Linked DNA regions of Sus scrofa. The protein of the gene in region 1 interacts with the protein of each later gene in a biochemical or structural test. Links are inferred from orthologs where the notes say so. Each region holds a gene or a part of one and is shown on either strand. Other genes may lie near its edges.

Region 1 (4,457 bases):
AGAATGAGGAATATGATTGTTAAATATATTCCTTAAGAATAGCTCATTTCCCCTTTTTATGGAAATAATTTTGTCCTATTCCCAGATATTATTAATTCTCCACAAGCTGACTGGCTAAATATCAATACTGTCTAATTCCATAAGCATTTTTACTTCTCTAAGCAAATCAAAAAAATGCAATCCTAGCTTCCTCAATTCCTTTCCCTGACAAAGTAGAATGAATATAAATTTTTAGAGTCCAGGGGAAGTTCCCCTTGTGGCTCAGTGGTTAGCGAGTCTGACTAGCATCCATGAGGACGCAGGTTCAATCCCTGGCCTCACTCAATGGGTTATGGATCCAGTGTTACCGTGAGCTGTGGTGTAGATCGCAGATGCGGCTCGGATCCTGCATTACTATGGCCATGGTGTAGGTTGGCAGCTACAGCTCTGATTGGACACCTAGCCTGGGAACCTCCATATGCTGTGGTGCCGCCCTAAAAAGAAAGGGGGAAGAAAAAAAGGAGTCCAATTCATCCAAGTCTGCCAATTTGACTAACCTACACATATCCAGAAAAGGCTATTTCAGTATATATTATCAAATTATTCAGTCTCCAACCTAGATGAATTCTTTCAAAGAAAACATGCAAACATCACACAAGAAGCAAATGATAAAAATATACATGTATTTACTGTGTACTATATGACTTTTCCTCACCTAATTCTATAGAACAAAAATTCAGTGTTAATGAAAAAAGATCTCCTAAATGGTTCTATAGAACTTCATTTTGTTTCTCCCCATTCATTCAATCCATCCTCCACATTGCCAAATTTCTCCCTAAACACAAATCTAGGTTCCTAGTTAATACTCCATAATCCTACCACCTTAGTTTCCTACAGTTAACGACATGCACAGCATATCTCCTACAGTACTGCAGTGCATCACTGAAACATGAAACACACATTGCTTTTTGCTATGACGATACTCAAAACACATGATGCCTTTCATGTCCTTTGCCTTCCTTTTTTACATTTGCTGAACTCATTTTTTTTTTTTTTCCTATTTTTTGCTTTTTTGGGCCACATCTGCAGCATATGGAAGTTCCTGGGCTAGGAGTCGAATCAGAGCTGCAGCTAACCCACCAAGAGACGCCAGGGACTGAACCCGCATCTTCACGGATATTAGGTTTGTAACCCACTGAGCCACAATGGAACCTCCAGAACTCACTCTTTAAACTCAAATGTTTCTTCCAATTCTTCCTGACTTTTCCTCCCCCCCAGGGGAATTATTTTAACAGCTATATTCCCATAGTACTTTATAAATCTATTCAGTTAAGCAAATATTAAGTACTTACTATGTGCTACATACTGTGAGCATAAAGACTGTCCCTCTCCTTATGAGAGCCCATTACTCAGATTCCAAGTTACACTATTTCCAAAATAAAATGTCTATAATCAGTTGAGGGAAAATGGTATTATGACATTGTTATGGTATTAGCTGTATGTGTTCCAACCACACCATGAGCAGGATTGGGTCTTGGTCACTGCTGTGTACTCACAAGTCCAAGTACAATAAAGGCCCATATTAGATGCTCAAAAATGTTTCTTGAATTTAACTGGTTTCCCTTCTTCAGTTAATATGGGTGGATAGTTGGCCAAGTGAAAACCAAAAAAGGAAGAAAACCAAAACAAAAGCTGTGTTCCATGTATAATTAATGTATTTCAGAATAGGTTCCTTCTGTTGCTACTCATCACTGTACTAATCATCTTGCCCTCTTGTTAATTAGCTTCCAGAAATTCATCCCTTCTTCTAATCTCTTAAAAAGCATCTATTAAGTAAGAATTGACAGGTGTTCTCTTATAAATCACCAAAACCAAATACTTTATACACTGTTTTAAAAATTGATTTGGGGAGTTCCCGTGGTGGCTCAGTGGAAAACAAATCTGACTATCGTCCATGAGGACGCAGGTTTGATCCCTGGCCTTAGTCAGTGGGTTAAGAATCTGGCATTGCTGTGAGCTGTGGTGTAGCTTGGATCTGGAGTTGCTGTGGCATAGGCCAGTGGCTATAGCTCTGATCTGACCCCTAGCCTAGGAACCTCCATATGTGCATGTGCAGCCCTTAAAAAAAGAAAAAAAAAAAAAAAAAAAAGAAAAAAGAAAGACAAAGATAATAAAAAATCTGATTTTGTTAGTGGGTCACTACTGAGGAACAGGCTGCTCAGAGGCAGAAAGAACTAGATGGGGGGGGGCGCAAGTCATACCATAATTACTGATTTTTACTGTATATCCTGTTGTAATAGGAGCAACCACAGCCGCCGGCTTTTCATTTTCCAGAAGTTCTGCTTTCCTCTGTGATTTCTGCTGCATCTTGTTCTTGATTTCTGTCTCAATCTTGGACTTTTCAGTGGTCAGGGTATCACGTACTCTTTTTCTAGTAGCCTTTTCCAGAAGCACCTTCACCTCTTCTAGATCTTTCTGTAGCTGTGTTAAAAAAACACATTAGCTATGATAAATAACAACATGATGTTGTGCACATTGGTCATTTCAATTTACTGAAATAGGAGCTAATAATAAGAGGTTCATTTAAATTTTCTAGGGTTGAGTAGCAACAAGGATTTTTTCGTTCAGCCTATTGAATTGTAAATAACTCAAGCTCCCTTTTTTTAAAATAGGAAAACCTAATCTTCAAGTAACAATAGGTAATCGAGCCAAAACTTTCTAGTTTGGTAGACTGTTAACTCTTTTTTTTACTTTTGTGATTTATAAACATTTTCTGATTTGTTAAGATGAAATTCAACAAAAAGGAATTCTTGCATTTCCTTGTAACTTCCAGTCCGTCATCAGATATTAGGAATTTTCTAAATATTAAAAGATATAAGTGAATACATGATGAGTGTGGTGAAATGCTACAGCAACTTGACAGGTTATCCTCTACTTTCCATCACTAACTGGTCCTCACTGATCTTCCTATCCCAAATAATACATATAAAAAGTTTACATTTTTAAGGCAAAAGATAAAAAAAAGATATTTCTTCTAATAAGTTTGATTCTGAAGCTCCAGGTTTCTTTTACCATCAGAAGTCTGGGACCTGGTTTGGTTGCACAGTAAAGGGTAAAAACCTGGGCAAATAATCCAACATAAAACACAATCCTGGATCACTGGAAATGCCACCTGCTTCTTATTTGTTACACCAAGACATTGCCTATCCAAGGCTACTGCTATTTCTTTTCAGGGGCAGAGCCAAGATTTTGTGAGGTTAAGAGTCAAAGACACTGTTAGAAAATTAATGAGCTTAAAAACTTTTCCTCGGTTATCCTCTGACATAATGCAAATTTGTAAGATCTTTCTAAACAGGGGATTCATTTTTTCTTAAAATGACTTTACAATCTGTCTTGATACTAGCAATTTGAACAGAAGACTTTGATATTATAGCCTGAGATCATATAATGCTCAAAATAAAAATATTTAAATGCTTGATAACTCAGTATAATATGTGAAGTACAGTTTTAAAGTCTTTATGTTTCTTAATAGTATTAGAAAATGCAAAACAGGGGAGTTCCCCGTCATGGCGCAGCAGAAATGAATCCGACTAGGAACCATGAGGTTGTGGGTTCGATCTCTGCCTCGTTGAGTGGGTTAAGGATCTGGTGTTGTGGTGAGCTGAGGTGTAGGTTGCAGACACGGCTCAGCTCCGACGTTGCTGTGACTCAGGTGTAGGCAGGTGGCTACAGCTCCGATGGGACCCCTAGCCTGGGAACCTCCATATGCCACAGGTGTGGCCCTAAAAGGACAAAAGACAAAAAAAAAAAAAAAAAAGGAAAAAAGAAAAAATGCAAAAACAGAAAAATGAACTCTTTTATCACAAGTCTTTTTATCTCATTTAACTCCAATACTCTGTTTTGCCTGTATGTAACTGCTAAAAACATGGTTTAAAAAGTCTGTGTGCCCAGTCTCTGGTCCACATTCTATCTCCGGCTCTCAAAATTCATTTATTACTAAGGCAAAAAACTGCAACTCATCTTTCGAGCATACAACCACGATGCTGCTAGTTCAAAGCAATCTTTTTTTTTTTTTTTTTTTGGCTTTTTAGGGCCACACCTGCAGCATATGGAAGTTCCCAAGCTCGGGGTCAAATTGGAGCTGCAGCTGCCGGCCACAGCCACAGCAACCCACGATCCGAGCCTCATCTGAGACGTAAACACAACTCATGGCAACATCAGATCCTTAACCCAGGGAGCAAACCCAGGGATCGAACCCGCATTTTCATGGATACTAGTCAGGTTCGTAGCACACTGAGCCACAAAAGGAACTCCCAAAGCAATCTTTTTGTTATAATTTCTTCAAAAAGTCACGCTGATTCTAATAATATGATTAAAACATTTAAAATGTAAAATGAGTATGTTTTGTTTCCAGAGTAGGGATTTAGGTTTTTTTTAAAAAAGAAAATGTATAAATTCTAAACAATATGGATCCTTTT
Region 2 (4,913 bases), on another chromosome or scaffold:
CAAAAACACTGATGCTTCTCCATTGCACAAATATACGCTCAAGCTTGGTTTCGGCTTTAGAGTCCTCTACAATTTGCCAACTAAGTACTTTTCCAGAATTAGAGTCTACAGCTCAAACTGTCACTTGCACCGATTATCTTTCTATCAAAATCACACCCACTCCTAAAGGCCCAATTCAAGCTCCACTCTTCATCTTTATATTCTCCACATGATGATTAGGAAAGGACTCTGCACAGAAAAAGCAAATTCCTAATGAACTGATTCAGGGAGTGAAAAAAAATTTTTTTCTCCCAAAACACTTAAATCCTCTGGAAGCATTAAATTTTTGAAAACATCCCTATTCAAATATTACTATTTCAATCAAGAAATCCTCCATAAACCCAACAATGTAAACCAACATTTATTAAATGCTAATAATGTGTGACATGGATTTAATTCTTATATTAAATATCATTAATCTGAAGATAAAAAGCTATAATCTGTACCCAGGATTCTAATTCCAATAATATTTACACTTGGATCCTACTTAAGAAAGGAACGTCACATTAAGAGGGCTTGGTATTTTACCCGACAGAGATTTAGAAGGTCAAATAAGTCTACAGAAGCTACAGAAAGTTAGCAGATCTAAATGAGCTTCAGACTAGTAAACATTCTTATCAAATTAAAAAGAAAAAAAAACCTCTAAACTGGATTGTCATAAAACTAGTTTTTTGGTTTTTGTTTTTTTTTTTGTCTTTTTGCCATTTCTTGGGCTGCTTCCGCAGCATATGGAGGTTCCCAGGCTAGGGGTCCAATCAGAGCTGTAGCCCCTGGCCTATGCCAGAGCCACAGCAATGCAGATTCCGAGCCACGTCTGCAACCTGCACTACAGCTCACAGCAATGCCGGATCCTTAACCCACTGAGCAAGGCCAGGGATCGAACCCACAACTTCATGGTTCCTAGTCAGATTTGTTAACCACTGAGCCACGATGGGAACTCCAAAACTAGTTCTTTTCAGAGTCTATCTTAGGTTCTAATTTATCTTCTTTGGAAGGGCTGAAGGACATGACAGGCAATTCTGAACACTTCATAGAGACCTTTACTGGCACACTTACCAGCAGATACAACAGCAATCAGATGTAGGACACAAGTGATGCTGTGGGGCATTACTTTCTCTCCATTGCATTCTAGGACTGCATTTCTTTTAGGCCTCAACTAATTTAATTTCGCTTTTGGCTCCTTAGCCTCTGAATTCACGTTAATTCTCAGCTGTATACTTTGAAGCATTTTGATCTTGAAAAGAATGAAAATATTCAAGATTCAATGAAAGTCTTTTTCTTTTTTTTTAAAGTTTATGTAGTCTTTGAACCTAGCTAATGTAACTGGTAAATCATGCCCTCTATGGCCTTTCTGAAATCAAGATCATTTAAAGTTGAATATATTTCTGAAATAGATTTGCTTATGAGTAAGACAGACTAGAATTCTAAAATTATTAATAACATTATTTAAGAAAAATAGGATGTAATGAAAAGAGCTGCAGCAACTGAAGTTAAATTCTCAGTCTACAATCTCAAGTCTGACTCTTTAGTTGAATGACCTTAGGAATTGGCTTTACCAGAAATACTTTCTCATCTGAAAGATCTCACAGCCCTTCCCTCCCACCAGCTGACTATTCAAATAAAATGAGATAATATATCTAGCACAGTACCTGCCACGCAGCATTCAGTATTAGTTTTTTTCCTTCGTTCAACACAAAAGACACTCACAAGATTTAGGTATAAGGGAGTCCACACCTGCACAAGTCTTCATCAGCACAAGACAGCTAGTTAGTACTAATTTAAAAAAAAAAAAAAAACGAAAAAAAAACACCGTCACCTCCACTCCACAAACGTTTCTGAGGGATCTGCATCAAGACGAGGGAACCAGCATGTGACACTGCAAGAACTCCACCAGGACTGCATACATATTGACCACTAAAGCATTGACAGTAAAAGTCCACAATAATTGTGCTAAAACGTCTGGATGCCTTTATGCTGGTAATAGAGTTCAAGCGAGATAAAGGAAAAAGAAGCCAATTTAGGCCCAACTCCAAATGACTCCTTAATAAATCAAGAGAGGGATGCTGGTTTATCTTTCCTAAAACGCGGACAGTACGATATTAAAACCCATTTAAAAACTTCATCAAGAATGAAATATGCCAAAACAAACATTGACGCCACTAATGCTTTTTCAAAAGCCTGCGCAGGAGAGCACCGCTGGCACCACCGAAGGTATCTGATGAAAGCCGTGCGTGGAAAACGCAGGCGAGGGAAGGAAAATAACAGACGGTCATTTCGGGGCGGGGCACACACGCCGCGGCCGCCGCCGCCAGCATCTGAAGGAATTCGCGGCTTCCCACCCCGGCGCGAAGAGCAGGCCGCGCGGCGCACACCCAGGCCGGGGAGGGGGGCGGGGGGGGCGGAGGGGGCCTAGGTTCCCGGGCCGGGGTCCTGGATCCAGTGTCCACCCCCCGCCCCCTCCCCGCGCCGAGCAACGCCCCAGCCCGACCAGCCCCGCCCCGACCGAGGCCCCGCTGCGGTTGGCGGCGCAGCGGGCCTGGGTCGGAGGTCGGAGGTCCGGGTTGGGGTAGGGGCTGGGTCCGCGTCCGGGGTCGGGGTCAGGGTCGGGGTCCGGAGAGCAAGCGGGGCAGCAGCGGTGAGCCCGGCTGGGGGGGAGGGGAGGGCGGCGGGCGCGGCCAGGCCGCGGGGCATGGACACTCACCACACCATGCCGTAGGCGCCCTCGCCGATGTAGGAGAGGTTGGTGTAGCGCGGCCCCACGTCGAACACCTGCCCGCGGACCATCTCGGGGCCCGCGCCCGCCGCCGCCGCCGCCATGTTGGCTGCCGGGCCGCCGCCGCCGCCGCCGCACTGGGCTCGATGCTCCGCGGCCGCTGCTCGGCCCACGCTGCACCAACGGGGAGACCGCGCCCCAGCCGCTGCAGCCGCCGCCGCTGGCCGGGAAGAATCAGTGAGGGACCCGCTCGGGAGAGGTAGATAGCCACCGACCGCTCGTACCGACTGCCCGCCTGACTGACTGACGGGCGGGCCGGCGGGCGGAGGGAGGGGCGCGCGCCGAGGAGGGCGCCGGGGCAGGGCCGTAGGCGTGAGCGCGGATTGGCTCCCGCGGCCTGGGGGCAGGGCTGCGCGGCCGGCGGAAGAGGCGCGTTGGGGGCGGAGCACTGCAGCGGCGGGGCGGGGCGCGGTCACGTGCGCTCGCGGGAGGCGGCGGGGAAACGCTGAGGACTCCGAGGCGGGGCGAGCTTGCGGGGCCGAACGGGCGGGGCAGCGGGCCGAGAGAAGCTCCGGGCGGCTCCCTCCGAGTAGGAGCGCGACCGGGGCGGATTCCCCCCGCCCCCGCGCGCCGAGCCAGGTTTGTGAGAGTCCGGGGCCCATACAGATTAGAGGCCTCGAGACCCGCACAGAAGCCGGAAGGGTGACCGAGACCGAGAGAGATATTTGCATCCTGAGAAAGTGTGAAACCCAGAGTGGGAGGCGGAGACAAGAAGCCCGGACGCGGCCCGCTCCGGCAGAGGCTCGTTCAACAAGTGTCACCGCGTTCCTGCGCGTCCACCCTCCTCGAAGCTACCCTCCAGGAGATGATGGATGGACGGTCGATGGATCTGAAGGAAGACTCAAGTTGTCTGCGAAGTACTGCGAAGAAAAGGAGAGCAGAGTAAGGGGTTCGGGAGTAGTGGGTTGAGACCCTGAGAAAAACACTGAGATTCAGAGACTGGCACCCAAGTTGGTACAGATGGGCAGGATCTTACCCAGGTAGAAACGCGAAAAAAACAAGTATTAACATCTAGAGAAAACGAGTTAGACGCACTGAGGTTCAGAGATTGTCACAAAAATGGAAAAGAATGTATATATGTATAACTGAATCACTTTGCTGTATAGCAGAAATGAACACAACATAAATCAACTGTAACTTTAATAGTCACAAACACCAGAGGTTGAAAATAAAAGGCAGAATCTTGAAGCAGGTGAATTCGATAAACAGCTAAGACAATGAGACAGAAGATGATCCAGCCCTTGCTTCTGAGCCACTTCATTGGAGTCACCTGCGTCGTCTTGGAAAGGGGACTAAGGGTGGGAAATTCTGCGTCCTGATTGTCTGACACTGTGATCCAGAAAGCCTGGACTTCCAGTCATCAACAAAGATCAACTAGACAGTCTTGAAGATGAATAAGCAAAAGAGAAAAAAATCCTCTGGGGAAAAAAAAAAACATGTGGCATATGAGAAAATAAATAAAGGGCTACAGCCAAAAAGTACTCTTTTGAAATATGTTTAGTCCATAAAGTAGAACCCAACACCTGATTCTTATTCCTTTTTTTTTTTTTTTTTTTTTTTTGTCTTTTTGCCTTTTCTAGGGCCACTTCCCACGGCATGTGGAGGTTCCCAGGCTAGGGGTCTAATCAGAGCTGTAGCCACCGGCCTATGCCAAAGCCACAGCAATGCAGGATCCTTAACCCACTGAGCAAGGCCAGGGATCAAACCCTCAACCTCAGGGTTCCTAGTCAGATTTGTTAACCACTGAGCCATGACAGGAACTCCCTGATTCTTGATTAAAAGAAGAACTTGCATCTTTTAAAGGACAGGCCAAGATAAATAGAGGGTACCATGAAATTAAAACCACAATAGCCAAAGTAAAAGCAATGGTTGGAGCTGTAATAAGCAGACTTAACAGTGTAGAAGAGCAAGTCAGCAGGATAGGAGACGACTATGAGAAAAAGCTGGTGATGAAATTCTTTAAGAAGAAAATGTACAAGAGAACAAACACCACAAAGTCAAACTACAGGCACCCCCTCCCCAAAGAAGACAGAGCAAATCACTTAGAGGCAATAACTTACAGTAAAAGAAAACCTGCCTTAATGTCTAAAAAGATCTGTGG
Region 3 (4,175 bases), on another chromosome or scaffold:
CTCTGCATGGCCTACAACGACTTCTTCCTGGAGGACAACCAGTGACGGGGCCCAGGCCCTGGCCTCTGCAGCTCCTATCACACACCCTTCCAGAAGGATGCTGCTTTAGCCTTCCATTCCCGCAGAGGAAATAAAGATTTTCCTTTCCAGGGGTCCGTGGCTGGTTTGGAAGATGTCTTGTCCATCTTGGCTGGGGGTGCGGTGGGCAGGGCAGCGATTCCCCTTCAGTGAGTGGAGAGCTTCTGGGGGCTAGGGTTCTGGGCTCCCTCTCCACTTCCTGTCCTTTGGTGTGGATGTGACTAAGTGTGTCTGGGCTTAGCATGGCCCTCCTGGAAAATGGGGAAGTTGGGCCAGGCTTTTGATGGCTTCCGAGGTGTGCTTCGGCTATGCAGAGAAAGTTAAGGAGAAAGTGCTTAGAGGGTGAGGACACTGGAGGCAGCCGGGATGTGGTTCCTGGGGGCAGTGGTGGACAGGCCAGTCTGACTTGTCACCAGCTCACAGGAGGCCACCCTGAGGACGCTGGTAAGAAAGGGGAGTGTGGCCTTGACCTCCAGGCCAGTCCCCTTTCCCTCTCCTCCGTTTCCCTCTCTGCAACAAGCCCTGCTACCCCGCATGCCACCTCAATCACCTCTAGGCTTTCTGCCTTTCCCACCTCCCCATATCAAAAGCCTTTCTCCAGAGAGGATCTGAGAGGAGTTCCCCCTTGTGCTGCAGCGGAATTGAATCTAACTAGGAACCATGAGGTTGCAGGTTCGATTCCCTGGCCTCACCCCAGTGGGTCAAGGATCTGGTGTTGCCATGAGCTGTAGTGTGGGTCGAGACCCTGCTCGGATCTGGCGTTGCTGTGCCTGTGGCAGAGGCCAGCAGCTACCCGAGGCCCTAAAAAGCAAACAAAACAAAACAAAACCCAAAACCAAAAAACACTGAGGATCTGAGAAACTTTGCATTGCAGGGTAAATAACTAGGGACACAGGGCTTGGCTCTGGCATGTGTGCCCCTGAAGCTGCAGGAGGCTCCGGTGTGCAATTCTGGAATTCGGGGTGGGGGAGGGGGTTGGGGAAGGGAGCAGGATGGTGGTAGGAATTCGTTTTCCGCTGGCGGATGGGTGTTGGAGAAGTCCTTGAAACTGTATTCTGTAGACCACCGGCCGCTCCCCACCCTTCATCTAGGTTTCGCCCTGGGAAGGGGGCACCCTTCTCTCCCTTCTCCACCCACTTCCGGCAGCCCCCCCAGCGTCAGTGACAGCGTCCTGCCCTGGCCTGTCACATCACGATGCTGGGGGGTGGGTGGCTGCAAACTGGGTTTCAGGGGTTAGGAAGGAGCTCGAGGTCACTCGGCTGGCTGCAGGTGGGACCCCCTCCCCCTCGAGGTCCCCCCCACCCCGCGGAGCCCTGAACTGCCCCGGGGCAGGAGGCGTGGAAAGTTTTGGGGCCCTGGTGTTGTGTAACGGCGAGCACAGGGTGGGGCGCGGGGCGGGCCGTGGGCGGTGGGGAGCCGGCCTCCCGGACGCGCCTCTATAAGGCGGGCGGGCCGGCCCCAGAGCCCAGCATCCCCTCGGCCGCTCCCTGCTCCCGTCGCTGCCGCCGTGGTGAGTCCTGGCCAGGGCAGCCCCGGTCCTTCTGAGCCAGCCCGCCCCGGGCTTGGTCCGCGGGCGGTGGATGGCTCGGCATCCAGCCTGGGGCTGCGGGGCTGCCGGGCGGGCGGGGAGAGGCAGGAGAAGCCAGGCTGGCCCAGGGCTAAGGCGTCCGTTGGGCGGCTCCGGGTAGTGGCCCATCTGGGGTGCGGGAGGGTGTGTCCCGGGCGGGCGTGTCAGCGCCGCCGTGTGTGGCCCTGGAAGGCTGTGTGTAGGGCTGGGTGCGCCGTCTCCACCCCCGCCCCGCAACATCCGCCCCAACTTTCCCGCAACCCCTGGAGGAGCGTTCTCAGCTGTGTTCCTGTCTGCTGCTTAGAATCCTTGAGCCACCTCGTCTCTGGTTCCCTGGAGGCCACAGATCTCTAGGCTCTAGAGTCTGCCCTCTTCCTCCCCTTCAAGCCTCGAGCTGTCTCCTGAGGTCACCTGACACTTACTTGGTGGTCCGGGCAGGGTCGTCAAAGGGAGTTGGGGTCGGGGGTGGGTGGTGGTGGGGATGGGGGTGGGTGGGTGGGGGGCAGAGGTCTTGGGGCTTGCGGTGAGTGAGAGGAGTGAGACCTCCGTGTGGCCCAGGACACTGACCAGCCCCTCTGCCCCCAGCCTTGAACTCAGCCTTCAGCCATGGCATGCCCTCTGGATCAGGCTATTGGCCTCCTGGTGGCCATCTTCCACAAGTACTCCGGCCGGGAGGGTGACAAAAACACCCTGAGCAAGAGTGAGCTGAAGGAGCTGATCCAGAAGGAACTCACCATTGGGGCGGTGAGTGAGTCTCCCCTGCCCCCCCCCCCCTTAGAAGCAGGATTGGGAGAAGGCCAGGCGCCAGGTGCCTGTGACTCACACTTACTCACATTCCGGGGACCTAGACCTTACCGGACCATTGGTCCACACCCCTGGGCCCTGAGGGGCTGGGGATATTCCCAGCCTGGTATTCACTCCTCCTGAGTCAGCAGCAGAGAAGTCAAGCCAAGTGAATTCAAGGTGGGCTCAGAGTTTTGGTGACAAGTGAGCACAGAGCCACTTGTCTGAGAGAGGGCTGCCTGGGAGGGGGAAAGGCAGAGAACCCAAGGTCTCATCACCCCTGAGTCCTGGATTTCCCATTTTGACCCGGTAGAAGCTGCAGGATGCTGAAATCGCAAAGCTGATGGATGACCTGGACCGGAACAAGGACCAGGTGGTGAACTTCCAAGAATATGTCACCTTCCTGGGGGCCTTGGCTATGATCTACAACGATGTCCTCCGGGGCTGAACATAAATTGAGACGGTGGAGACACCCTTTAGCTGGCCTGTTGATCTAGTGGTGGGTAACTGTACAATAAATTTTTTTTGTTGTTAAATCTACCCCTGTGTCCTGGCTTCCCTGTGATTTGTTTCCTCCTCTGCTTGCCGCTGCATCAGCCATCAGAGGGTTTTCTCGCAGTCCCCTCTGGGAGTGACTCAGTGACTCACCAGGTCAGGGGAGCTGGTGGGAGGGTCCACAAGATGATGGATGCGCCCTAACAAGGCAGTTACAGCTCCTAAACTGCTTTTATGTGAATCAGAAAAGATGTAAGCTCTGGGCAAAGCCATCTTAAGGAAAGGCTCAAGCGGTCCCCAGCACAGGGCGTTCTGGGGTGGGCTTGGAGAAGGAAATGGTGCTTAAGCCAGGCTGTGATGAGTCCAGAGTGGAACAGAGATAGTCCTAGCTGGGTCCTTGCAGACGACAAAGACAAGTTTTTGCTCTGGGTGTGGTCAAAGGGGAAGGTCCAGCAGGGCTGTGGGGCGGGGCTGGTCCACTCTCTCACTACAGGGAAGTGGGGGCAGAGAAGGCACATCTGGCATGCTCACAGCCTGGCTGGGGACTGCTGTGGATGCTGTACGGTCAAGGTCAATTCTGCTGCCCCTGCCCCGGTTGAAGGTGGGAGGCACACCTTAGGGCCCTTTGTTCTCAGAGTTGTGGTCTGAGAAGCTGGCAGCTGTGTGGATACATGAATCATGAGATGCTCATGAAAGGGGTGGGATGGGGGTCCCCGGGACTGGGCAGCCACAGCCCAGCCTTTCTGTCAATATTGAGCCAGCCCATTCCTAGCGCCTTAGCAGAATGGATCACCCCAGTTATTCCATGGAGCCACTGGTAGATGATGAATTGAAATTATCTGAGTTCATTGTTTGCATTAGTGTTTTCAGGCGGTGGGGGGAAGAAGGGGGTGGCGGGGGAGGAGGGGATGGTGGGGAGGGAGGGGGATCGGGGCAAGAGGGTTTCAGGGCGATGGGGCAGTTGTGGCAATGCTCTCCCATGCAGACCTAGTCTGTGCCAGGCAATTTCCTCTGTAGGTTCTGGGGGCCTCAGACAGAGACCGTTTCTTCCTGTCCCTCTTTTTCACCTCTCCACTTCCCAGCGGGCCCAGATTTGCGGAATTAAATCTTCTTCCTCCATGAGGTGGGGATGAGCAAACAGTCCCAAGAGGGCTGGAAACCTCACCTTTGGTGTCCCTCCTTCTCTAGTGGCCACTCCTTCCCCGCAGGGAGTAGGGACTGGCACAGTTGTGAACCAGGAAGGGACCCAGGA

What was found.
Region 2: of the proteins of CACYBP (region 1) and MAPK1, one has a biochemical effect on the other in vitro, tested with the Homo sapiens proteins (2 studies listed by BioGRID). The link is inferred for Sus scrofa from reciprocal best matches to the Homo sapiens genes CACYBP and MAPK1.
Region 3: the proteins of CACYBP (region 1) and S100A6 are reported together in a solved structure, tested with the Homo sapiens proteins (2 studies listed by BioGRID and IntAct, with this or other methods). The link is inferred for Sus scrofa from reciprocal best matches to the Homo sapiens genes CACYBP and S100A6.

Annotation. Positions count from the first base shown.
Region 1 is NC_010451.4:117,066,721-117,071,177, reverse strand, and holds part of CACYBP (calcyclin-binding protein), read right to left. Parts: intron 2,461-4,457; coding exon 2,241-2,460; intron 1-2,240. UniProt on the Homo sapiens protein: May be involved in calcium-dependent ubiquitination and subsequent proteasomal degradation of target proteins. Probably serves as a molecular bridge in ubiquitin E3 complexes. Participates in the ubiquitin-mediated degradation of beta-catenin (CTNNB1).
Region 2 is NC_010456.5:50,081,673-50,086,585, reverse strand, and holds the start of MAPK1 (mitogen-activated protein kinase 1), read right to left. Parts: upstream 3,508-4,913; 5' UTR 3,484-3,507; coding exon 2,741-3,483; intron 1-2,740. UniProt on the Homo sapiens protein: Serine/threonine kinase which acts as an essential component of the MAP kinase signal transduction pathway. MAPK1/ERK2 and MAPK3/ERK1 are the 2 MAPKs which play an important role in the MAPK/ERK cascade.
Region 3 is NC_010446.5:96,096,719-96,100,893, forward strand, and holds S100A6 (protein S100-A6), read left to right. Parts: upstream 1-1,552; 5' UTR 1,553-1,588; intron 1,589-1,949; 5' UTR 1,950-2,051; exon of another isoform or gene 2,052-2,073; intron 2,074-2,230; 5' UTR 2,231-2,251; coding exon 2,252-2,389; intron 2,390-2,741; coding exon 2,742-2,876; 3' UTR 2,877-2,968; downstream 2,969-4,175. Other genes in the region: S100A5 (protein S100-A5), read left to right, coding at 1-45. UniProt on the Homo sapiens protein: May function as calcium sensor and modulator, contributing to cellular calcium signaling.